2 linked regions of the Mytilus edulis genome follow. The protein of the gene in region 2 interacts with the protein of the main gene of each other region in a biochemical or structural test. Links are inferred from orthologs where the notes say so. Each region holds a gene or a part of one and is shown on either strand. Other genes may lie near its edges. The genes, in order: microtubule-associated protein 1 light chain 3 gamma-like and next to BRCA1 gene 1 protein-like.

Region 1 (13,345 bases), on a different chromosome or scaffold from region 2:
ATGATAGCATACGAACCTGGGTGTTTAAAAAAATCCTTTATGTCAGTATAGTTGTGGTTTTACTTTATTGCCGATTTCAAGTTTTTTTAAAACTAAAAGCCTACCACTGACCTTTTTATTTTCTCCCGTTGGTAAACAGAAAAGCGCCGGTTAATTTGCAAGGCAAACCGGTAAAGCGTTCACTGTTGTAAATCTATAAATGAAAACCAATTCTCAAGTTCCATGACTATGATTGCTTTATTGACCTAGCAGTTATCTGTTTTGTTTGCAAATTAAAATTACGGAAAAATGAGGCGATCATATATCTTTATTGCAAAATTACACCCATGAGGGTCAAGCAATACAATGAAACAATAATTTTATACTATACAATGCAATACAATGAAATACAATGTAATACAATGAAATACAAAATAATACAATACAATATATGGAAAAATAGAACATTAGAGTTCAATTATAAATGTATGTAAAAAACACCATCATAACCTTGCCTGACATGGGTCTGACTCCCTCAGTTCTAAAGACTGTTTAATGAAGACTCCAATATGACAAACAAGTTCAGGGATAGGGTTTAGAATGTGTTTAAGTTTATTGAATGCATCAAGATGCTGAAATAATGGTACATAGTCTTTTAGATAAACAAAAAGATTAGAACGCAAATATGTGTTAATGTCACAATACAAAAAGAAATGATATTCGTCATCTAAGACTTCACATTTTTTACATAATCTTTGTGCTCTCGGAATGTTTCTGTACCTTCCTAATTCAATGCCTAGGGAATGATCACTTAGTCTAAATTTTGAGAGTAACTGCCTATGTATAAAATTATTGCAATTTAAATATTCCTCAGACTGACAATTATTTTTTAATTTCCCATAAAGACAAAGTTTGGATGAGGAATCCATTTTTGAAAGTTTAATTAAAGTATTTTTTTCATATTCCTCTGAAACACACTTTTTTATATTACATTTTAACATGTTTTTTGATTGTTTAAAAGGTACATTATTATTAGAGTAATTTTCTGGGTTTATTTTCATTTCTTTAAAAAATTTATCTGCAAATGAGTACCAAGAATAAATTCCTTCTGAATGTAAATTTATGTTTGTTTGTAGAGATTCTTTAACCAGGGGATTAATATCATTACAATTTATTCTATAAAAATACATGAGTGTTTGAGTTTTTATATAGGAGTCCAAAGTAAATCTACCTAATTCTGATCTAGCACCTATGTTAGTGGCTGTCTTTTTCAGTCCTAATACTGCTTTACAAAATTTAGAATGAACCTTCTCAAAGGGATATTTTTTCTGCTAATGCAAGAGTATCACAAAATGTATTATTTACTGCAGCTCTATTAGATGCTCTATAAGCTGACTGAAAATTATCCATAAACCAAATCTCAGAGTTGTATGTCAAAATAGGTCTTATAAGAGTATCAAATAATTTACATGACAAATTAGTGGGAACAAAATTAAAATTTGACATATATTTTCTCAATAAAAATAAAACTTTAATGCCTTTTTTAGACAGCTCTTCAGTAGTTTTTGTAAAATTTCCCCTATAGTTAATAATATTCCCTAGAAATTTGAAGTCCTTAACTTCAGTCAAAAATTTATTATTAAACAAGAGGGGTGGGGATTGTTTATAAATATTCTGAAAAACTAGAATTTTAGTCTTGTTTGTATTAACACTCAATTGCCATTTAGTGCAATATTTATTTAGTTTATCTAATGCGTTTTGAAGCCCCTGGTGTGTCTCGGACAGTAACACTAAATCATCTGCATAGCTGAGAGTTTGGATACTTGAAGTATCAAGAACTGGAGGGTTACAATTTACATCAAAAATTGAATGTAAATCATTTATATAACAATTAAACAAAGTAGGACTTAAACTGTCCCCTTGTCTTACACCTCTAATTATTGGAAAAAACAAAGAGTGTTCATTGCCAATCTTCAGTGCAGACTGGGATAAACTATACATGTTTTTCAAAGTAGTATAAAATTTCACACCAACACCATCATTTATCAATTTATACAACAGGCCATTATGCCAAACAGAGTCAAAAGCACCACGCAAATCTACAAAACAAGCAAACAGCTTTTTCTTATTTTTTTTCAAATATTTAGTGACAAGAGTTTTTAAAATAAATATGCTATCAGATGTTCTGTGATTTGAACGAAATCCAAATTGATGACTGGAGAACTTATTTTCGTAATGCTTTACTAGTCTTTTATTCAAAATAGAGCTATATAATTTTGCTAGACAGTTTAAAATAGAAATGCCTCTATAGTTACATATGTCTTCTTTATCTCCAGACTTATGGATTAAAACAATAAATGCTTTTCTCCAGCTGGTGGGGTAAATACCAGATGATAAAATAAGATTAAAAAGTTTAACTATGGCTGTAACTGTAACAATGCTACTATATTTTATAATTTCATTAGATATTAAGTCAGGTCCAGAGCTTTTCCCTGATTTTAATTCTTTTATACAGTTCTTTACTTCTGATATTGAAAATGGACCATCAGTATAAATATTATGTTCTAAAGTACTCTCAAGCATATTTAAATCTTTTTTAACTTTTTCTTTAAAAGAGTTATCATATTTTTCAGCCTTACCAAGATTTTGAAAATGTTCTTCATAGTTATTTAATTTAATATTTGAACAATCATCCTGTTTAGTGTCTTCAGATTGTACAAGGTTCCAAGTTCAAAGTTGTTGACAAAAATTTATATGACGTCAGAGACCTTCTGACGTAAGGCGGAGGGATATAGACGGATAGCCTTGACTTACACAAGTTACTTACCAGCACACTTAATTAGAATAATAGAAATTGATTACAAAACAACCTGTTTTGTTTATACTTGGTATTGGTAATTATTAAAAAGTCAAAGAAAAAAGGACTATTTATCTGCGGAGTCACGCACTCCATCTAGACGACGTCATTTATAAATGTAAACAATTTGAATGATCAATGAAGGAGTTCCCCTCACGGAGAAGAAAATGGACAAAAATACGCCCTATTACCTTGATTTGAATAAACCAGAAGCAAAACAGAATGTCGGATATATTTATGGTAAGTAAACCTAGCTGTTTTTGTACATTTTTCACGACTTCATTTAACACCCTCTTTTTTAGAGGTCGACTTGAACATGTACACATGTAGCAAGAGGTAGAATCTATATAAGGGGGTGCTATGCCAGTGCTTTGTGGGAAAACTTTAGTTGATTTATTGAGGGAAACAGTACTGAAGCGTCCATCTCTAAAGAAGTCATGCAGTGCCCTCCCTATCTCATCCCCCTTATGAAACTTCTGGATATTCATGTCTTATTCTTACAACTTTTAGGGAAACAACTTTCCCAGGTAAAAAAAAGGGGAAGCTGAGCGCTCACATGTTAAAATTGGCAAATTTGGTTGATTATATAGGAATTACTGAACCTTGGCTGGAACCCCCTCCCCCTTTATGAAAATATCTTAATCCGCCACTAGACTGTTTAAATAAATACTGTAACAGGGTAATTTATGAAGATCTTTTTTTAAGATACTTCAGATACTTTTATTTCACTAATACATAGGCGTAGCAGGCCCATAAATAATGGTACGTTTTTTGGCAAATTAGACATATGGGACACGGAAGTGTTCCGCCAGCGTCTTACTGCAGAGGGTATGGGAGCCGCTCAAGGCCCCCAGAAGCTCTGGGGTTCATAGCGTTAAAATCCTGCATTCTAGTCGTTTCCTGCCACTAAAAATCGTTTCTGAAAAGCAGCATTTTTTACTCGACAATTTGAAAAAAATCAAGTATATTAATGTCTGTGTCTTGCAGGTTTTGTAGTTTGTTTCCATTTTTGTGTCATTTACAAAGCATGCAATTATTGCGCAAAATTCATTATAAAAAAAAATAAAAGGCCAGAGGTTCCTTGCTACAAGTTAGGACAGGCGCAAAATTGCTGTAATGTAAACTTTTAAGATAACCACTTCGTCAGTAGGGGGTCGTCTTGGCCTTGTAAGTTATTTTTTTTTGAAAATCATGCAGCGACTGTCAAGATGAAGTACTTAAATAAATCACTATGTTCTTGCAATAATTTGCATCTTGTCTATTTGTCAAGAGTGTTCAAATTGGAAAAATGAATGTTACTAGTACTAAGGAAATGACATATTTCATTGATCTTCAATCAATCACATGCATGGCGACAATTTGTTTTTCAAGGGAACGAGTTCAATTCAACCACTATAAAGAACCCTTAGTTCATATAAACTTTAAAATCAGTAATTGTGATATAAATGTAACGCTAAACGGGTCTTTGTTCTGTGTATTTTGGACAGTCATTATTTTGGATATATGTATCTGGGATCTAATCCTTCTTGCCCGTTTACATAAGGAAATAGCTATTAAATATTTCACCATATATATATAGACTCACTACCGTCTATATACTAGTAACGAAGTCTGTTTAATGTTCACATGTTTAATCATATAAAAGTACATGTATATATATGATATATTTAAAAGGTTCACAGCCCAGGTTCACAGTTATAAATTCCAATACAAAACGTTACTTAGTTCCAACTCTATAAAACAACATGTTACTTCATTATAATCTATATCGCAACTTAATTGTTACTTCAAGCTACTACACCAATATAAGTGATCAATGCAAAGTTTCTTACAAAATCGTGCTATGAACCGCTGTCCTTAAATTACATTAAACCTTGCTTTGATAAACGTCCAAATGTTATTACAATTCTACTATGCAACTAATGTACCGTACATGCAAACTGTCACATTTAATATTAATCAAGATGAAAGATCATTCAACAAATTAAGTATAATTGACCATCAAATCTTTGATGTAGTTGACCACGCCACATCAATGTTAAATTTGTGAAGTGTAAAATATTTACTCGCCTATGTATATGTATATAATATGTAGTTTCCATTTCTCGTTTCAGCATTTTATTTTTCAAACATTGGCTATACCTTTCATGTAACTATTTATGTGTTGCTTATGAATTTAATTGTAACACTTCTTAGTGACTGGTTAGGTTAAACCAATGCCTTCCTAGAAAACTATGACACCAATGAACAACACCAGTCTTTTTGCTGTTCCTGCTAATAATGTATGCATGGCTTCACTAGAAAAGGCATCAATTCTTTGGCTTTCCTGGTTGAAGGATTTGTTTTTACAACTCCAGTGTATACACAATTGTTACCATAGTATATAGTTGGTTGACCGTTATGGAATAACCGTTTCATAGATGATATGGGATATGTTTCTCACGTCATAACTACAATCCTCTTCCCTTTTCATGAATTTGACTTACTGTATAAAGCTAGTTAAATCGGGTTTGTAAAAACATGAGCAACCCGACGGTGCCACTGTTGGACATTTGGAGCAGTATCTGCTTACCCTTCTGGAGCACCTGAGATCATCCCCAGTTTTTGGTTAGGGTTCGTGTTAATTGCTCAGACTGTGTTTGTTTTCTATGCTGTTTCTTGTGTACTTTAATTTGTATATTTCATGTCGTGGTGTTATCAGTTTATTTTCGATTTATGAGTTTGCCTGTTCCTCTGGTATCTTTCGCCCCTCTTGAAGTCTATAACTTAGAGAATGATGAAAAATGATAGTTTTGCAATTCAAAATATGAATACAATATAAGGCTGGTTAGAATGCAAACCAATCAGCTTGCTTAATATCTAATAAGTGCCACCAAATATGCAGACATTTAAGACTGGGGCAAACCATACACAATAACACAAGCTTACTAAAAAACAGCTTGGTTTCACAATACTAGAATGTATGTAAAACTGCAATTCAATAAAACATAGATTGGTATACAAGCAATTAAAGCTTGTATGTATCCATGCAAGAAAAATAAGCTTTCACCGTACACCAGTGTTGCATGCAAGAATACCGTGAACTGAAAATGTCAAACAAATATGCAAACTTTTATGTTCCAAAGGGTATAGGATTATACGTTGGTATACCGACAATCAAACCCATGAATTCCATTGTTTTACAAGGGTTTATTGAAAAGCGGGTTAGTATACGGGAATTAACCCCTGAGTGTTGCAGTTAAGAATTAAGAGCTTTCTTTCAAATTCAAATGAAGTTGAAGGCTATACATAAGTAATTCAACCTTTTCATTTCACAATCATACACATCTCCTTATTTTCTAAGGGAGGTATGCAAACATAATTAAATAAGAAATGTTACTACTCAGTAAATACTTAGCATTCAGGCATACAGACTTGCCAATACAAACATGAATCCAGAATAAAATTTTAGAATCCATGAAGGCATACAAGTACCTAGCAGAAAAAAAGCCAAAATAAATTAAAAAAAAAATCGGTTTACATATCCCAGGTTCGTATACAGGCATACAGACCTTAACTATGCCAAAATAAATATATTAAAGGTTCTAAATACACCAGATTTGTATGCAGGAATACAGACCTGACAAATACTTATATACGCAGAAAGTGAGAGTTTAACATACACCAGGTCGGTATGCTAGCATACAGACCTGACAAATACTTGTATGTACATAGAGTGAGTTTTTAACATACACCAGGTCAGTATGCTAGCAAACAGACCTGACAAATACTAGTATATATGCATAGAGTGAGAGTTTTGCATTAACCAGGTCGGTATGCTAGCATACAGACCTGAAAAATGCTAGTATATGCATAGAGTGAAAGTTTAGCATTAACCATGTCGGTATGCTAGCATACAGACCTGAAAAATACTAGTATATGCATAGAGTGAGAGTTTAACATACACCAGGTCGGTATGCTAGCATACAGACCTGACAAATACTAGGATGTGCATAGAGTGAGAGTTAAGAATTAACAGGTCGGTATGCTAGCATACAGACATGAAAAATGCTAGTATATATGCATAGAGTGAGAGTTTAGCATTTACCAGGTCGGTATGCTAGCATACAGACCTGAAAAATACTTGAATATGCATAGAGTGAGAGTTTAGCATTAACCAGGTCGGTATGCTGGCATACAGACCTGACAAATTCTAGTATACACATACAGTGAGGTTTTAGCATACACCAGGGTGGTATGCAGGCATACAGACCTGACAAATACAAGTAAGAGAAAAAAGACTTAATTTAGCATTCTTTTCATTGAAACATCTGAAATAAAGATGGGTAAATGCTATGTTATGTATATATTTCAAAAATGACATAAAAGTATAACAAAAATGCAGAATGAGTATCTTTTTAAGGTTTATTTACTTGAACTATTTCCTTGGTGTTAAAATAGTTCATTCTAGCATCCTATGAAAAAGGTTTATGATAAAATGATGAAATTTTGGTTCGCATTTACAAAGAAAGATCACAAATCTTGCCAAAAGATGACAAACAAATATTGTTAATGCTATACAGTGAGTTTTTAACGCGAAATATATCAATAATCCCAAATGTTGTAGCCTTTTCACACAAAAATAAGTTAAGTGGCATATGAGAATTTCTAATTTTAGATGAGAACGTGTTCAAATGATGAATACTTTTAGCTAAAGATGAATATTGGATGGGGGTTCTGTGTATTTACATTATTTGTACAACTCTCCTTACTGATGCCATATTTTGGAATTTCCGTGACCTAAATGGTTCGCGAAAATTAATATTTTTTATATATAGTATAGTAATAGTGGTGGGCCGAGTTTGTTATAGTCCGAGTTAGCTTTAGGCCGAGTTATTCAGCGGCGTATCCTAATACCAAATAACGACTATGATTTTCTCTGAACCTTGGGTTTTACGTCATAACCAGCTGATGACAGATTGAAAAGTGTTCGCAGTTAGATACACACAATATTAGTGGTAACATGCCTGAAAGGCAGTATAATACGGCCGAGGGGGCTAAAACATTCAAACAGAGAAAGAGTTTTTGTAAGTACACGATACAGCAAAATATAAAAATGCCAATACAGTAATCGAGTAATGACAAAGTTTTCCCAAGTTATGACAGGTACATTACAGTTCATCATAACAAACGGACAAATATGGCTGTATTTACATGTCAAAAACCTGGGTACAGACTTACCTGTGAAGTTGGAAATGTTTTCATGCATGGCATCCACTAGATATATTAAATTTAAATGCATAATTTTTGTGTTTCAGAAAGATCTCTTTTGGATTTTGATGGGCATTTTTTTCCCTTCATGCATGAGGTGTGAAAATTAACTATTAAAGTTGTGGTACAAGTTTGAGTAGCTGTGCCGCAAATAGTCAAAAAATAACATAAGGACCTAAGAGCTACGGTTCCGCAGCTAAAGTTTGAGATGAGCCCTTCAGGTAAAAACCGGTTTGTATTGTTTTGATTGTCCTCAATTGACATGGACAAGAGGTATCTTCACACAACTACAGGTGAATTATTCAGTTAAAGAGTTTATCTGAGTCAGTGAGTGGACAGTATCAAAGCTGAGACTACTATAACACATAGTAGTCTCAGATCAAAGTTAATAAATTCAGGTGTTTGTTTATTTTTACACCTTCTGCAGAAAAAAAAACCCCATCAAAAACCAATGCATTTAACTTTTATATATTTAGTGGATGCTAGGCCTTAAAACTTTCCAAACAGCACAGGTAAGTCTGTACACGGAGAAGTTTTTGAGGTGAAAATTCTGCCATATTTGTCCATTTGTTATGATGAACCTTAAAGAGTAGGGGAAAAACTAAGAGAAGACATGGTTATCGATTATTTGGCCATTTTCAAATATATAAATCTTGAGTTTCATTTCAAGGAATGTTAACACCATCAAGACAGTGTCTATTCAGAGACATGTATTTATGTCTCTGGTCTATTCTATTCTTTCCATTGCCAATATTTTATTAGTATTGACAGAAATCAAGTGCCTGTGCTGTGACCTAATACATGCCTAATGTAAAAATAGGATAGGTATTAAGGACCCAAATAGGACCTACATGTACTGAAAAATAAATGAAAATGTGCAAAAAAGTTATATATAAATACATGTGTGATACATGTCATTAAGAATGTAAACTCAATGTCATATGACTATCCCAAATTCTACCAATCATGCCAATAAAAATCATAGGAGGTCAGTAAAATGAAAGTCAAATATCAGCATCTTAAACGAAGTTGGAATGAATTTTACAAGTTTCTTTAAACTTTGAGTACATATTGTATCTCAAAAAGTCAGCAGTTTAATATATGTTTTTGAATTAACAGTTTTAAAAAGTTTGTTTAAGCAAAACTAATGTTAAAGCATTTGCTCAGACTTATTTATTTGATAGACAAATTCAACACTATTATGCCATTGTGACGGGCTTTGCCAAAGATTTTGTTGAATTTATGATAATGGTCTCACAAAATATTAGTACATTGTAATTTGTACTAAAAAAAATACTAAAGCATAAAGACATCATTACCTCAAAATGGACTGGTGAGGGTCTGGATGGTATGCAGAATAGAGAATAATGTGCAGAACTTAATTATTGGAATTCAGCTGCATATACATTTTCTCCAGACAAATGCTCTAGAATGGGATAAACTGAAAAAAGATACACGTCAACCACAAATCCTGATCATGTTCACATATTCTGAATAGAAACAGCTACAAAACATTTATGGGTATCCCGGTAAACATACGATCAGACCTCAAATAGAATACCGGTAACAATGAAGATAATATCAGATTGAATGAAAGATGACAGCTGAATATTCTAAAGCAATGTTTCCTATCCATGATTCCTGGTAAGGTTTGTTCATAGAAAAGGATGGATTTATGGCCTCCCATAGAATAATATTTGAAGGTTCAATAACTTTCTTATCATATTGATCATTACATAATAAAGTGGAGGGAGTGAACCTAGTTCCAAGAAAGATACAAGCTTGTCGTTGCTCTAAAGCTCACAAACCAAAAACACTGTAATTTTGTTCATTAGTCATGTTAATCAGTACAGTGTATGTGTTTTCATAACTTTAGTTTAAGTGAATAGAAATCTATGAAATTTAGACACAAGGTTTATGACCACAAAAGGAAGGTTGGGATTGATTTTGGGAGTTTTAGTTCAAACAGTTTAGGAATTAGGGGCCAAAAAAAGGCCAAAATAAGCATTATTCTTGGTTTTCGCACAATAACTTTAGTATAAATAAATAGAAATCAATGAAATTTAAACACAAGGTTTATGACCATATAAGGAAGGTTGGGATTGATTTTGAGAGTTGAGGTCTGAACAGTTTAGGAATTAGGGGCCAAAAAGGGGCCCAAGTAAGCATTATTCTTGGTTTTCGCACCATAACTTTAGTACATGTATAAGTAAATAGAAATCTTTGAAATTTAAACACAAGGTTTTTGATCATAAAAGGAAGGTTGGGTTTGATTTTGGTAGTTTTGGTCCCAACTGGTTTTTAGGGATAAGGGGTGCAAAGGGTCCAAAATTGAACTTTGTTTGATTTCATCAAAAATTGAATAATTGGGGTTCTTTGATATGCCGGATCTAACTGTGTATGTAGATTCTTAATTTTTGGTTCTGTTTTCCAATTGGTCTACATTAAGGTCCAAAGGGTTCAAAATTAAACTTAGTTTGATTTTAACAAAAATTGAATCCTTGGGGTTCTTTGATATGCTGAATCTAAAAATGTACTTAGATTTTTGATTATTGGCCCAGTTTTCAAGTTGGTCCAAATCGGGGTCCAAAATTAAACTTTAGTATAAGTAAATAGAAATCTTTGAAATTTAAACACAAGGTTTATGACCATAAAAGGAAGGTTGGGTTTGATTTTGGTAGTTTTGGTCCCAACAGGTTTTTAGGAATAAGGGGCGCAAAGGGTCCAAATTGAACTTTGTTTGATTTCATCAAAAATTGAATAATTGGGGTTCTTTGATATGCCAAATCTAACTGTGTATGTAGATTCTTAATTTTTAGTCCCGTTTTCAAATTGGTCTACATTAAATACCAAAGGGTCCAAAATTAAACTAAGTTTGATTTTAATAAAAATTGAATTCTTTGGCTTTTTTGATATGCTGAATTTAATCATGTACTTAGATTTTTGATGATGGGCCCAGTTTTCAAGTTGGTTCAAATCAGGATCCAAAATTATTATGTTAAGTATTGTGCAATAGCAAGAAATTTTCAATTGCACAGTATTCAGCAATAGCAAGAAATCTTCAATTGCACAGTATTGTGCAATAGTAAGAAATTTTCAATTGCACAGTATTGTGCAATAGCAAGAAATCTTCAATTGCACAGTATTGTGCAATAGCAAATATTTTCAATTGCACAGTATTGCGCAATAGCAAGAAATATCTAATTGCACAATATTGTGCAATAGCAAGAAATTTTCAATTGATTGGAGTTATCTGTCTTTGTCCAGAATAGTAGTTGAATCAACTTAAATCATTGTTTTATTTAGCTTCTAAAGGCAAATAGATTTGTTAGATCTTTGACCACATTTATTTTGTGACAGAAACATATTATGTCAAAAAATATGATCACAATCCAAATTCAGACAGTATCAAGCTTGAAGATTGTTACCAAATTTGACCCGACTGTTCAGTGTTTGACCACTGCGGTCATATAAAGCTGCGCCCTGCGGAGCACCTGGTTTTATACTGTCATGCATTTTTGTCTATAATCAGACAAATCTGATGTACAGTGGTTGTCTTCTGTTTATGTATAATTCATACGTGTTTCTTGTTTTTCATATTTATTTAGATTAAACTGTTGATTTTCCCATTTGAATGGTTTTACACTAGAAGTTATTTTGGGGCCCTTTATAGCTTGCTGTTCAGTGTGAGCCAAAACTCCGTGTTGAAGGCCGTTCCTTGACCTATAATGGTTTACTTTTATAAATTGTTACTTGGATGGAGAGTTGTCTCATTGGCACTCATACCACATCTAAATTCTTCCTATATCTATAAAGCATTGTCATTCAATGTTGCCATAATTTCATGTAGATGCATGATATTTTATAAATATGCATGGGTCTTGTAGATGACCAATTTTAGTAACTTTAACATTGACTTGTAGGAGTCAATTCTTGCTCAACATTAATTGACTTGTTAAAGTAGAATGAAATTCAAAACAGTGTGGCTGTGGCCATTGATTGACACATTAAATTCATCCATTGACTGGGACAATTTACGTGAACGTTTGTCTGTAACGACCACTATTCACGATGTACCTACGATAGACATTTAAACTGTGGGGTCACCAAAGGTTTCTTAACGCCTTTAATTATAAAATAATTCCAAAAATTAATCAGGAATAACCTTTATGTTTTGATTTATATAATTGATATAAATCAAAACATCGTGTTATTTCTGATTAATTTTTCGAATTACTTTATTAAGGTGTTGAGAACCTTTGGTGACCTCATAGTTTAAGTGTCTTTAAAAAGTACATAGTGAGCAGTGGTCGTTACATACAAACGTTCACCTAAATTGTCCCAGTCAATGGATGAATTTAATGTGTCAATCAATGGCCACAGCCACACTGTTTTGAATTTCATTCTAATAATTTGTCTTAAATTAAAGGGAGACAAATCTTTTAAGTCTACAAATTTAGACCTCTATGAGCCAAAAGCAGATTCAGATCTATATATATTTTCAAAAAACATCATTTAAACGATGAGAAATAAGATGGTTAGTTTTAACAGATTATGTAAGCATTGTTTATGTTTCCTTACAACAATGTTTTTATAACCGTCGCTCACGCATCACTGGTTCTATTATTGGCAACTCGATATACATCAGTTTTGTCGGACGAACAGGTAATTCCTGTCAAACTAGATAAATCATGTGCATTAATTTAACTGAAACATTTCAATACTATAGTTAACGTTTCTTAATACACACGTTATCATTCACGCGAATTATTAAAGAGACATCGTTATCTGAGAGTATGAGAGTGATAACAGTAAACATCTAAAACGCCGGACGAAAGTCTAGAAATAAAGAAGAACGGTTAAAAATAAAGAAGACATCTAACTTCTTGTCTTACATCCAATTTTCTGTCAAACATCTATAGTTAAAGATTACTGGTTATCTTTTAACCACAGTCCATTTTTCTAGATGTTTTATGGGCTTCTAGATAATAAGCAGGCTCTTTAACCAAATGGCTTTCCCAGTGAGACTTATTTATGACATTTATGTCTGAGCTCTGACTGGTGAGGTGAGAGATTCTTTTGTCATTTTTCTTTTACTCCATGTAGAAGGCCTTACTTTGACTTTGAGATGAAGAACAGCAATACATCCTTTGCACTGTTCATTTAATGATGTTGTGCCATATTCTTTGTTTTTCTACTATCATGATTATACAGAAAGTTGTACAAATTGTTTTTGGTCAGAAGACACATTGTGAGGTG
Region 2 (13,224 bases):
TAAAACAATTTATATAAATATCTTATAGAAATGAAGGCTTCAGAGCATACAATGCAATTTCCTGTATAATTCATTATTCCAAAGGGCATAACTATTTCATGTATTTACAAATATCTAATCAGTCCTGATTTTCGAACTCATCTAAGACATTGCTGAAATATGATCTAAGTGTCATAAAAGTCTGACAAGAATTGTACAACTGATAGCAATAACAAGCAAGGACAGATTAACCCCCTCCTATTTCAATGTGTTTTCACTGGGGACAATTACCCAACATTGCACATTTACTGCATAGTTTTAATAAATTAATATGCAACTTGAACTTTATTAAACTTAAAAATGTTAAAGCTAAGGTAAATACAACTTTACCTGTCTTCATGTCTGATCTTTCATTTTTAACTATATAATAAAAGGGAACGACACACTGATCATGCTGATCTGACTTCTATTTAACATTGTTACATGCTTAACATTTCATAAAAGCTCAGCTGCTAACAAAACTGAATCTCTACAGAAAATCTTTCATCAATGTACTTACTTTGAAAGCTTCTACTAACTCCTCTTGACTGCTTAAAATAATCTAAATAAGAAAAGCAAAACAGATTGTGGGCAAGAAGTCATTACCAGAGATGGGTCTGATTACTTTCAATGTAATTGATTAAATTACAATTAAAAAAATGTACTTTGTCATCATTTTGACTCATTACACACGTAACAGGTGTCTGCTGAAAGTAAGTCTACCTAGCTAGAAATTTTTATGATGGGTGCCACTGGTGGAGCAGGATCTGCTTACAATTCAGTGACATTAGACATACCTTAGACCTATGTTGATATGGGCAGAATCAATTTGCGCCAATTGCAGTTTTGAAAAGATATTAATTGCGCCACTCTCTTTTATTTTGATGGTATTAATTGCGCCAATAAATGAAATGAAAGTGCGCCACATTTACCTGTAAATATTGTTTACCTATATCATACCTGTACATGTTTTACCTCTATCATACATGTACTAAAATTAACCTTTCCACTTAAGATTTAACTGAACACTTCATCAAATTTAAGAAAACTCACCAAAAAATAAATTGTTTAGTAATAGAATGTTTGTTCACGAGTCAAGATGTCTGATAAACTATTCAAGAAAATAGAGTCTGATAGAGGAAAACCGGTCGTCATTGTTGAAGAACACAAATTCCATCAGGCATTTGTAAAGGAAACTGGAGAAATAAGGTGGAGATGTACAGTTAAGTCGTGTTGTGCGAGGTTATTCACAGATCTATGAATCGTGTACAATTATTTTGAATGGAGAATTAGATCATATTCATGAAACTTAAATGTCCAGAAATTAGAACGTCAAATTTTGAGAACTGCATGCAAAAGAAAAGTAACCGATATTATGTCAGAGCGACCTTCAAAAATAACAAATTCAGAGCTCTTCAAAATTGAAGAAGAAAATTTAGAAAAGAAAGATTTAAATTATGTGCGTCAGTCAATGTATATAAATAGAGAGAAAAGAAAACTGCATCCTGCTCAAGTGAAAAATCAAGCAGAATTTCACAGAATGATATCGGTGTTGTTACAAACACAGATGATGACTTTGTATTGTGTAACGATCAAGAAAGTCAATCACTTAGTTGTTATATAAATAAAAATAAATAGAATTGGCGCAATTAGATGATTATTTTATTGGCGCAAATGATACCTACAGTTTTGAAAATCAGGTGACGCAAAAGAAGTATTGGCGCAATTATGTTGTGGCGCAAATGAGTTACTTTTTGGCGCAAAAAAATATCGCCCTTTGATATATTGTGTTTTGTTTTTTTCATTCAAATTTGAGTCTATATTTTATAATAACTGACACATGGCTAATTATCTGGATGTATTTATAAACCAGATTATGTATCTGTAATTAGATATTCTTTTGTCTACAATACACAGCAAGACAGCAAGTTGATGTTGTTATTCTGCTTGAAGCAATTCTTACATTATTGTGCCTTCCAGTCTGATAATACCCACAAATAAGAACCTAAATATTTTGGGTTGAGTTCTTATTGCTAGTCTTAAAACGATCATAAAACAAGGTTTGTCTCACAGTTTACTACTACATTTGTACATGTACACACAACTTTTGAAATATAAACCTTATCCATTGTACATGTTGTAGGTTCATTCATTGTAATCTTTACGCTAGTTTTCAAAGAAAAAATTTAGAAAGAAAGAAGTACAAAATGTACATATAAATCATAAATGGAATGTTATTTCAGCAATCTATACTGGCTTTTATGGTAAGGCCAAACAAAATATATGCCTGTTTAAGGTTACATCATCAAAATAAATAGGGTAGGTAGGTCGGTATTTCCATTTTATTATTTTTTTCCATTTTATTTTTGTGCCATGATTTTGAGTTGTGCAGTCCGTCTTGCCGTGGTCTGAGTTGTCCATCGGCCGAGTTTACCCCTTTTTTTAATGATTGGATTATTTCCCTTTGTTATTGATTGGAAAAAAATGGCGGCAAAATGTTTTTTTCATCACAGGAGTTGCGAATTTCCTTAAAACAGCTATCATATTCATGATTATGAACATTGGGATGTATCAGGCAACACTATCTTCACTTTTAACTCAAGTTCAGTTTATTATTCACTTTACGACGGAAATAAAATGGCTTAGGGTCAGCGCTCAAAATAGGGTTGGTCAGGTAACCGTAAACAGACATATATTTTTTTTGGCCTAAACAATTATTGAATTAATTGAGATTGATTAGTTAATGTATTGTAAGACTTATATAATATTATACTATGTATACATTTTTGTAACAGGAAAAAATAACTTAGGCATATGTTATCAAACTTACATAGTCACCATCTGTATCCACATAGAATACCTCCACATTTTCACAGTCATACTGGACCTTCAACTGAAAGACAACATACAATTTACATACATGTACAAAAATGCTATCATATTATGTAAGTGTTTTAGATTAAATTTAAGCCTGAGTCTTGTTTTATCTTCTATTTAATTCCTGATATCTATGACCATGATGACCTTTTGAAAATGTCTGTATTATACTTGGTTTCACAAAATACAATGTATCTACATTTTTCATCTGAAAACTTTCGAAATTTGAACATAATAAACATTTCATTGACATTGAAAAATTTTAAATTGAATTTTCATGATTTTATTTATTTGATAAATTTTAAACACAAAAGTTTTACTATTTTAGAAGGAAATATTAAATTGGTTTGACAGAATAAAGAAGAAGTTGAGCAACAAATAAATTAAGTATTAAGTTGAAGCTTTATCCAAAATATTATGAAATTACTGTGTGCAGTAGTCCAGTACTACAATGTCAAATGAATGTATATATATATAGTTCTTTAGCATGTTTAGATAAATTGGAGGACTCTATGAGAGATGAAATGAATTCAGGGATGATTCCACTATATAGTTTAGGGCCACTTAGCGGCCCTTAAATCAGCCAGCGGCCCCCAAAAAATGTACATGAAAATGAATTCCCAATTCAGGAAAATAAAATAAAAATCAATATTTTCGGAAAAGTTTCTGTCACCAATTAAGGCAACTATAATTTTTCAGAGTTTGTTGTCAAAACATTTTAAAATCCGGATAAAGATGCTGTTTACGGTCGCATTTTATTAACAATGATTTAATTATGTCAAAATGTGGCAAAAAAATTTATCATCCGAATTCAATTGATTAATATGTTATAGGAGCAGTGCATGAGGAGTATTCGATCTTGTAAAAGCAGATCGCCCAGCAGGTTGATAAAAATGGGTGTCAAAGCAGACCTCGTCAGAAAAAAAAAAAAATTTTGATATAACATTGATGGATAAAGTTAAATGGGCGCCGAACTTGTAAAAGCAGATCGCCCAGCAGAGCCGGTTATATAATATGATGAAAATTTGTTTTGTAAAAGAAATTATTTCCTCAAAAGTGTAATTTTTGATTTTATAAAAATGGATAATTACCACGTGAATCACTGTTTATATTTACTCGGAAGAAATTGTTCCGAGTATTCCTTATTTTGATTGGTCAATTTGTTACCTGGATACAGGACGCTCTTATATATTTCTTTGTTTCAGGATTCGCGGTACATTTGAAATTTTTCATTGAAATTATTTCTTGCATGCTAGATTAACAAGCTTAAATTGTGTATTGTTTATATGATAGTTAAAATTAATCTGCTTAATTCTTTGTTCAACACAGTTGTTTGTTTATTTTTTGGCGGCCGTTGGCTTGGCGGCTAGCTCATGTGTTTATTCGAGCTGTTTGGATGAATATATTTATCATTTCTAATGGCTAGACGCTATATTTGCTCTTTAACATTAACTTTACATGTTATATGTGACTGTCAGTGGTATAGTCGAGTGTTTGTCCTGTGCTGTGAAATATATCTGTTTGTCTTGTGTATATATTGTGCCATAATAAAATTGAGTAACTTTGATTTCTTTTGTGAGAAGCCTGGTAATTGACAAAAGTTTGAGCGTTTTTTGAAGATAATGTTGATGATAGACCATTCATATCATACGATGTCATCATTATGGAACTATTTCACAAGTTTTGAAGATGATTCAAATAATTTTAAAGAACACTGGTTCAATGCTTTAAATATATTATCAATTATATATATGAACTTTTGTAACTGCTTTTTTCAGTGGTTTATGTAAGCTGAAATATATGTTTTTGTAATAGGCCTAGGTAACTATAGCTAAGATGATAGACTGGCGCATCATGTTCAATGATATTCATGTAATAACAGTACTGTTGCCCATCCGGAATTACTCAAAATGTTACAACTTACATGAACATCAGTGTACAGGTTGAACTTAATAATATACATGTTCCGTTTTTACAGGAAAATAATGTTATTTCGTCTTAGATTTTATGCTTAAAAAAATCCCAATTAGAATAAAAGTTCCCAATTTGATGTTCAAGGGACCCATTTGAAAACACCTGGAATCATCCCTGGAATTACCTACAGACATGCCAAGGTGATTGACATACAGAAAACAACTTAATATTAACAGGCATACATAAAATTCCCTTTGCCTTGAATCTGCATCTTGATCATGACATGTTCATGATGTTGTCATTGTTGATCAGCTGATTGAGCAAATATATGATAATTTCAAATTCAGCTTTCGTTTTTAAGTACAGTAATTCAGATTTCATCTAAATAGTGTATTTATTTGAATACAACGTTATTAATGATGCAAATCGTGTTAAATAAGAGTTATGTTTGACGACTTTCATAAAAAGGTCATATGACATAAGATTTCTGACTTTACCATGGCTTCCAGATCTCGCCATTGTGTCTTTGGATTTAGTTGAAATATTTGTGAGGCTTCGTTGTCCCCTTCGTATCGCACATTTATTGCAATAAGTTCATCCATTTCTACCATGTGGCTAAGTGTCGATGTTCCCAATTAATGTGTATTCGAGAAATTCACAATATTATACTTTCATCTTCCTTTCTTGTTGACAAATATGACGCATTACCATCTAAACACAAATCTGAATGTACAGGAACAAATAGTGCAATATGTTGACGATTTTCCATAAAAATCACGTAAAATTAAAACAAATATGCATGTGTTATTCTAAATTTCGTACAAAATTTTATTATATGTAGATTTTGTCTGCAGCATTATTTAAGCAAAGCTAATATTTTTAATGCGACGGATTAGATACTAGCGCATTAATATTATATTTTCTATTTTTAGAAATTATCTGAGTGACGTAAACATTGATCGCTAATGACACGTCTGTTTTGAAACATGACGAATTTAGACGTGACAACATACTTGCCGTCCCAAATTCTCATTTCGATTATTCTAGAAATCTGATTTATAGATGATTGAACAGTTTTCTATTGTTTTACTATTGTACGTCATTGTGGCCCCCTTTTATATCACGGGGCTGAAACAAACAATATTTTTTCTCAGAACCAAAAACAAATTATTTTTTTCTCCAAAAACTAGAAACAAACTTTTTTCCCCCAAATCATACCACATCTTCTTATTTTTATAATAAATGCACTGAGTTATCTGTATAACGTTATATATATATAGCTGTAATCTTTGTTATATCTTAATTTCTTTGACTTGTTTAATATATATATCTAATATTATGTCATGTATGTAGAGAAGGAAGTTTTCTATATACCCATCCGGAAAACCAAATTGTGTTTTTTTGGTAATTGTTTTTTTTTTTGTCAAGGTTCGTGTTAAGGGGGTCGATCCGTGTTGCCGTCTTCTATATTTGTCATTTGACAATAGCTAGAGATTATTATGATTATATTTAAAACCTTAAAAACTGTGTCTATTTTAAAATTTCCATATATAATCTAGTAGTACATAATATAATTCGGCGATTTATCAGGAGTTCTCATGTTCCTCTAACATGCCTAATGCAAACATGGCAAAGTAATAAATTTAATAGGTGCCCATTGGTCTTCATTGTTTTTGGTAAACATGGTAAATGCTAATTGCTGTTTAAGTAAACACTATAAATAACGAATAAATCTTATTGCAATGGAATTTCTAGGAAAAGAAACTGAATCACTAGCTAAAAGCGTATATATATATACCATCTTTAAATTTCAAAGCTGAGACCTTGTATCTCCTATAACACACGAACAGCCACTACACTGAGGTGTCTCATGATAAAGGTTAAAGGTTAGTATTTCTCTGTCCTGAGTGTTCTTGTATTTCGTACTGTATTCCTGTCATGTAAAGTTGTCATTTTACCAGTATATATTCAACATTGCCATATAGCGCGAGGTTTGGTTAACCACAAAACCAGGTTCAACCCACCATGTTTTCTTAAAATGTCCAGAACAAATCAGGAATACGGCAGTTATTGTCATCTAATAGTTCGTTTCTATGTATTTTGCATTGTCGTTTGTTTTTTGTTGTTTCGTTGCTTTCCTCTTATATATATATAGTTGACGTGTTTCCCTCGGTTTCAGTTTGTAACTTTGATTTGTTTTCTCTCAATCTATTATTTGAACTTTTGAACAGCGGAATTACTACCAACAGACGACTCTATCAATCAATTATGACTCTATTCCTATAGACTGACAAGCCTGAATGAACTCATGATAGATGCTGCAGGATTACAATTGTGTACGCAAAATCGCGTTTTGTCTTCAAAAGACTCCTAAGTATCGCTTGAATAAATAAAAAAGAAATGCCAAAAAGTTCTAAGTGGAAAAGTATTTGAAGACCCAAAATTTTGCCATATACAGCTGCAGCTAGTTGATATCAGAGTCGTTAAGAGAGATTTATACAATTAGATTTGCAATAAATATATACCTACTGTTTTCATTATGTTTGTTTTTACTATGTATTTGCCATGACCAAAATTTGTTTTTGTTTGTTTCCCGAATAAAGATATTATTATTATTCTTGTTTTATTAAAAATTTAGAATGGAAACGGGGAATGTGTCCAAGAGACAACAAAACCGACCATAGAGCAGACAACAGCCGAAGGCCACCACTGGGTCTTCGATGCAGCGATCGAGAAACTCCCGCACCCGGAGGAGTCATTCAGCTGGTTATATTAGTATATATGTGTGGTCTTGGCCAACGGTTAATGTGACTTCAAATGTTATTTATAAAAGTTTCATTGCGTTTCATGTTTTATATCTGTGTTACATATGTTTCGATTTATAATTCAGAAATACCCAGTTGCTTATCAAAACGCAGTCGAATAGAAACAGGATTGCCATGAACTGTTGAGATGTAGAGGGCGTCGTATTAAGAGTAAAAATATACCATACACATATTCAACATACAGATCGTGTGAGTATGGGAATTCATAGGTTTGATTCATATAAAAAATAAGACGATGTGGTAGGATTGCCTATGAGACAACTATTCACAAAAGATAAATGGTTGGTCAATGGATGTATGCAATCATGACGGCTTGCCTATGAAAAACCAACGACTTAAAATTTGTATCTGCTGATTCCACACCAAGCACACGTCAGTAAGACGTTAAATCAAAGACTTTAGGGATTGCAGTCATTCAAGATAATGATAACAAAAGCTGAAAGCCATAACGATTTGCTACAAAACTTTAACAAAACTGAAAACATAAGACATGGATTTGAGGGGGGGGGGGGGGGGGGGGGGGGTGTCCTTAATTTGCTATCTAAAAGAAAAATTGCTCGTTATTCTTCAACTTTTTAAAAATCAATTGGCTTTATGTAATTACTTGATACCTGTATTCTGGACATTGTATTTTTTCCTGTAACCAGTATATAAGTTACCGTAAACTGTTAAATTTTTTAATTTATGCTGTTATTCTTTATACTTTATCACACACACCCTCCCCCACCCCCCATTATTCTATTTTCTTTATATTTTATCACACACACCCTCCCCCACCCCCCATTATTCTATTTTTTTTATATTTTATCACACCCCCCCTCCCCCACCCCCCCCCCCCATTATTCTATTTTCTTTATATTTTATCACACACACCCTCCCCCACCCCCCATTATTCTATTTTCTTTATATTTTATCACACACACCCTCCCCCACCCCCCATTATTCTATTTTCTTTATATTTTATCACACACACCCTCCCCTCCCCCCATTATTCTATTTTCTTTATATTTTATCACACACCCCCTCCCCCACCCCCATTATTCTATTTTCTTTATATTTTATCACACACACCTCCCCCCACCCCCCATTATTCTATTTTCTTTATATTTTATCACACACACCCTCCCCCACCCCCCATTATTCTATTTTCTTTATATTTTATCACACACCCCCTCCCCCACCCCCCATTATTCTATTTTCCTTATATTTTATCACACACCCCCTCCCCCACCCCCCATTATTCTATTTTCTTTATATTTTATCACACACACCCTCCCCCACCCCCCATTATTCTATTTTCTTTATATATTTTGCTCTTTATTCTCTATTCTGTAAATCCCGTAAACACGGCCTCATATATAACAGGATGATTTTTGTCAAACAGATAAAAGAAAAATAAACGATTGTTTTCCAAAGTAAAACAAATAAAATCCTGGAATACCGTGTAGACAGGAACATCATAACTATGTATACAATGTATGATCTTTTCCGTGAATATAATTATAGACATGTAAGTTAGAATTACAAAGTTTCACAGGAAACAGAAAACTTGATATATTTTTCAAGTTTAATGGGAAATAATTATAGCTCAATAGATATCCTTCTGAAATTCACATCTATATTCTCAGGCTCTAGCAAATATATATACATCATGCTACAGAGAAGCAGGGGTGTCATGCGTTTGGCCCGTCTGTCCGTCTGTCAGTCATCAGGATTTTAGGGTCGTGATAAATCAATAACTGTTAAATTGGATCGTGATTACCATAAATGGACATTTGATCACACATAATGAAAACATACAACGTGTATAAAAGGTCGTTAGGGTCACAACGTCTATTTAAGGTCAAATTCAAAAATTGATAAAAATCTTTATAAATTTAAAATACCCCCCTATACCCAACCAAAGCAATCAGATTTCAAGGTTATTGCATCATATCATGAATAAAAAAAAAAATCCTGGTATTTCAGGAATATATTTTTTGAGTGGTGAAAAGGGGGGGGGGATTATGAAAAAAATAATTTAGATAAATTTCAATTGGATGTTGTTTTTTTAATTTATGGGGAGGGGGGATTTTTAATTTACAACTTTTTTCAAATATACATTTTAAATTTGGGGGACTTTGTTTTATTATGGGGTGTTATAACCAATAAAATTTCAAGATTAATTTTGTGCTTCATAAGAAATAAGTTATATTTATACCAACAGAACATGCTTAACAAATCTAAAACACACAAAAAGTTAGATTGATGTAAATGTCAGGTTTGGACATTGGGCCAGCAGTTTTTCAAGTGTAAGGGACAGAAACTTGATGGTTACCCAGTGGCGGATCCAGGGGGTGAGGGGGAGGGGGTTGGACCCCCCTTTTTTTGGATGACCAATGGATTTGAATGGAAGCATATAGTTGGAACCCCCCCCCCCCTTTACTCTAGGTTGGGAACCCCAACCCCCTGTTTTAAATGGCTAGATCCGCCCCTGGTTACCAGATTTCTAACCCATTGATTTTTTTACATGAAGGACGACTACAACAACATTTATAATTCATGAAAATGTATATTTTACATGTATCTGCATTCTTTTCTATGATACAAACAGGTAATACATATATGTAAAGGGTAAGGAAATTAACGTGCCTGGTCAAATTCAATTTACTTAGTAGTTTTCTTTATTTCTTTCCCCTTCAAAGTATTTATGTTGATGCTGGACTTAGGTCGTCTCTTGAAATCTTCCTTATTGGCCTAATACACATATATTGCCAATTATAATTTAATTATATTTTTCTTGATTTCAAAATTGTTTCAGGTATTTTTTGGGATGCACATCAGTGTCCTACATGTAGTTTATACTATGATGAGACTCAAATACTGCATTGATATCCTGCAGTATTTTGGCATTGTCCCTAATGTGTCTTCAAGTTCTATTGTTTATGTTGCTGTATGAAAAAGTATAACAACACTACTTAATTCCAAGGAAAATTCAAAAACAGGATTCCTCACATTAAATGGCAAAATAAAAAGCTCAAACACATCAAACTATGGACAACAACTGTCCCAAAAATATACTCTATAAAGAACAGCCACAAATATTACAGGTCTGTATATCGTATTCACAGCTCTTTCTCTTTTTAAACTTTAGTTAACTCTTCTTTCTTTTGTTTTCTTCTTCTTCATGTTATCATCTTAAATAAAGGCAATAGTAACATTTTCTTAAATACATGTTTAATTTATTCTAGTTAGAATGTTGCATTTTTTGGACAACTATCCAAACTTCAAATAATGTACAGTTAGTTTATAGTTTAATCTATATGTCATAGAGGCATTTTGAGTTATTTTGACCTTCAGTATTTTGTATAGATTTGGACTAGTTCTAATTATTTGTGGTGTCATAAATTTAGAGAAATCATCACGTGACAAGTTCAAGTTGAGTTAATTACATGTTATGTAATTAATTGGACATTCTCATCAGCATCAGTATTATTAGTTGACATAATTGTAATTATGAATTTGTACTAATTAGAGTGAATTCGTTTACTCAAAACTTGTCATGATAAAATAGTATATATGTTGTTAATTCAATAAGTAAGAAGAGAGTAGGATAGTAACATCAATAGAATTGTATTATTACAGTAGGAGTCATAATATAGAAACATTTACCATTGTATGTGATTTTGGTTTGGAATTAAATTAGAAAATCTTGCTGTGAGTTTGGTATTAGTTCAGTGCCAGAGCTAAGTTTACGTCTTCAGCATCTCTAGCTGACCTCAACGTTTTTCTAATGATTTTACATAAAAAAATAATGACCCTGTAACAAGGAAGCCAGCAGCCTCTTTGTTACATATATATCAAAAGTACAAGATCATCTATTTTATTGATCTTCATTCACCAATCATTTCTTATGCCTACCTTAATTGGCTTCAGTTGATTGTCTTTTTTAACATTCTAATGAGATTAATAAAAACAGGAGTAAAAATATCTGGTAGGTTTTTTTATCTTTTTTAATGCCCTGCTTGTGTGGACAGATCTTGAAAGACACTTGTCTATTGTCTGAGACTGTATGTTGACATCCATGCAGTAGTATTATCTTAATTTTTTTCTATAGTTGTAGTTTGTATATTGACATCAATATAATAAATAGTTGACACAGCATAGGTTTCTGACACAGAATGAATGTGGTCTAATGAACTTAAAATTTTTGTTTTGCCTTTGAGCAATTCACTATGCTGTTGAATATTAATCCTCTCAAAAAATTTGAAGAAATTTTCTTTTTATTTATGAAATCTGAAATGAGAAAAATTGACCCCCTCCCCCAATTTGTTTTTCACATCCCCCTTTCCCTTATTCCAAAATTGATCTGTTCAAATTTCTAATGGCCCCTAGCAATAACTACTCATTTAAATACATCATAATATTAAAATGTAAAAAAAGTGCTTGTTATCACTGAATGGTGAAGATTGTTTTAATTTATCAGTTGGTAGTAAAAATGAATATACATTGTATATTGTATAAAACAATGATTTAAGTTGATTCAACTACTATTCTGGACAAAGAAAGATAACTCCAATTGGAAATTTCTTGCTATTGCACAATATTGTGCAATTAGATATTTTTTGCTATTTCGCAATACTGTGCAATTATTGAAAATACTTGCCATTGCACAATACTGTGCAATTGAAGATTTCTTGCTATTGCTGAATACTGGGCAATTGAAGATTTCTTGCTATTGCTGAATACTGGGCAATTGAAAATTTCTTGCTATTGCACAATACTTAATATAATAATTTTGGATCCTGATTTGGACCAACTTGAAAACTGGGCCCATAATCAAAAATCTAAGTACATGTTTAGATTCAGCATATCAAAGAAGCCCAAGAATTTAATTTTGGACCCTTTGGACCTTTATGTAGACCAATTTGAAAACGGGACCAAAAATTAAGAATCTACATACACAGTTAGATTCGGCATATCAAAGAACCCCAATTATTCAATTTTTGATGAAATCAAACAAAGAACCAAAACTACCAAAATCAATCCCAACCTTCCTTTTATGGTCATAAACCTTGTGTTTAAATTTCATAGATTTCTATTTACTTATACTAAAGTTATTGTGCGAAAACCAAGAATAATGCTTATTTGGGCCCTTTTTGGCCCCTAATTCCTAAAATGTTGGGACCATAACTCCCAAAACCAATCCCAACCTTCCTTTTGTGGTCATAAACCTTGTGTTAAAATTTCATAGATTTCTATTCACTTTTACTCTAAAGTTAGAGTGAGAAAACTAAAAGTATTCGGATGACGATGCAGACAACGACGCCAACGTGATACCAATATACGACTGAAAAATTTTCAATTTTTGCGGTCGTATAAAAATAGAGATGTCTAGTGGTACTGTAAATTCAGAAATTATTGTGATGTTTTTATTATTGCAAAAATGCGGGCGGGTTAACGTTGTAATTGCAATAATTTAAACTCTCATTTTGAAAGTATTTATATAAGTCAAACAGGATTTTTCTCAATAATGCAAAAATTAGAATCGCATTTTAGTCCAAAATGATAAAATCACAATAATAAATGCACCCATAATTTCCAAATTTAC

The links.
Region 1: the proteins of next to BRCA1 gene 1 protein-like (region 2) and microtubule-associated protein 1 light chain 3 gamma-like form a complex in vitro, tested with the Homo sapiens proteins (2 studies listed by IntAct). The link is inferred for Mytilus edulis from reciprocal best matches to the Homo sapiens genes NBR1 and MAP1LC3C.

The regions. Positions count from the first base shown.
Region 1 is NC_092346.1:23,185,802-23,199,146, reverse strand, and holds the start of microtubule-associated protein 1 light chain 3 gamma-like, read left to right. Parts: upstream 1-7,710; 5' UTR 7,711-7,838; coding exon 7,839-7,902; intron 7,903-7,938; exon of another isoform or gene 7,939-7,953; coding exon of another isoform or gene 7,954-7,981; intron 7,982-13,345.
Region 2 is NC_092357.1:35,895,958-35,909,181, forward strand, and holds the start of next to BRCA1 gene 1 protein-like, read right to left. Parts: upstream 5,693-13,224; 5' UTR 5,421-5,692; coding exon 5,307-5,420; intron 2,912-5,306; coding exon 2,849-2,911; intron 581-2,848; coding exon 539-580; intron 1-538. UniProt on the Homo sapiens protein: Ubiquitin-binding autophagy adapter that participates in different processes including host defense or intracellular homeostasis.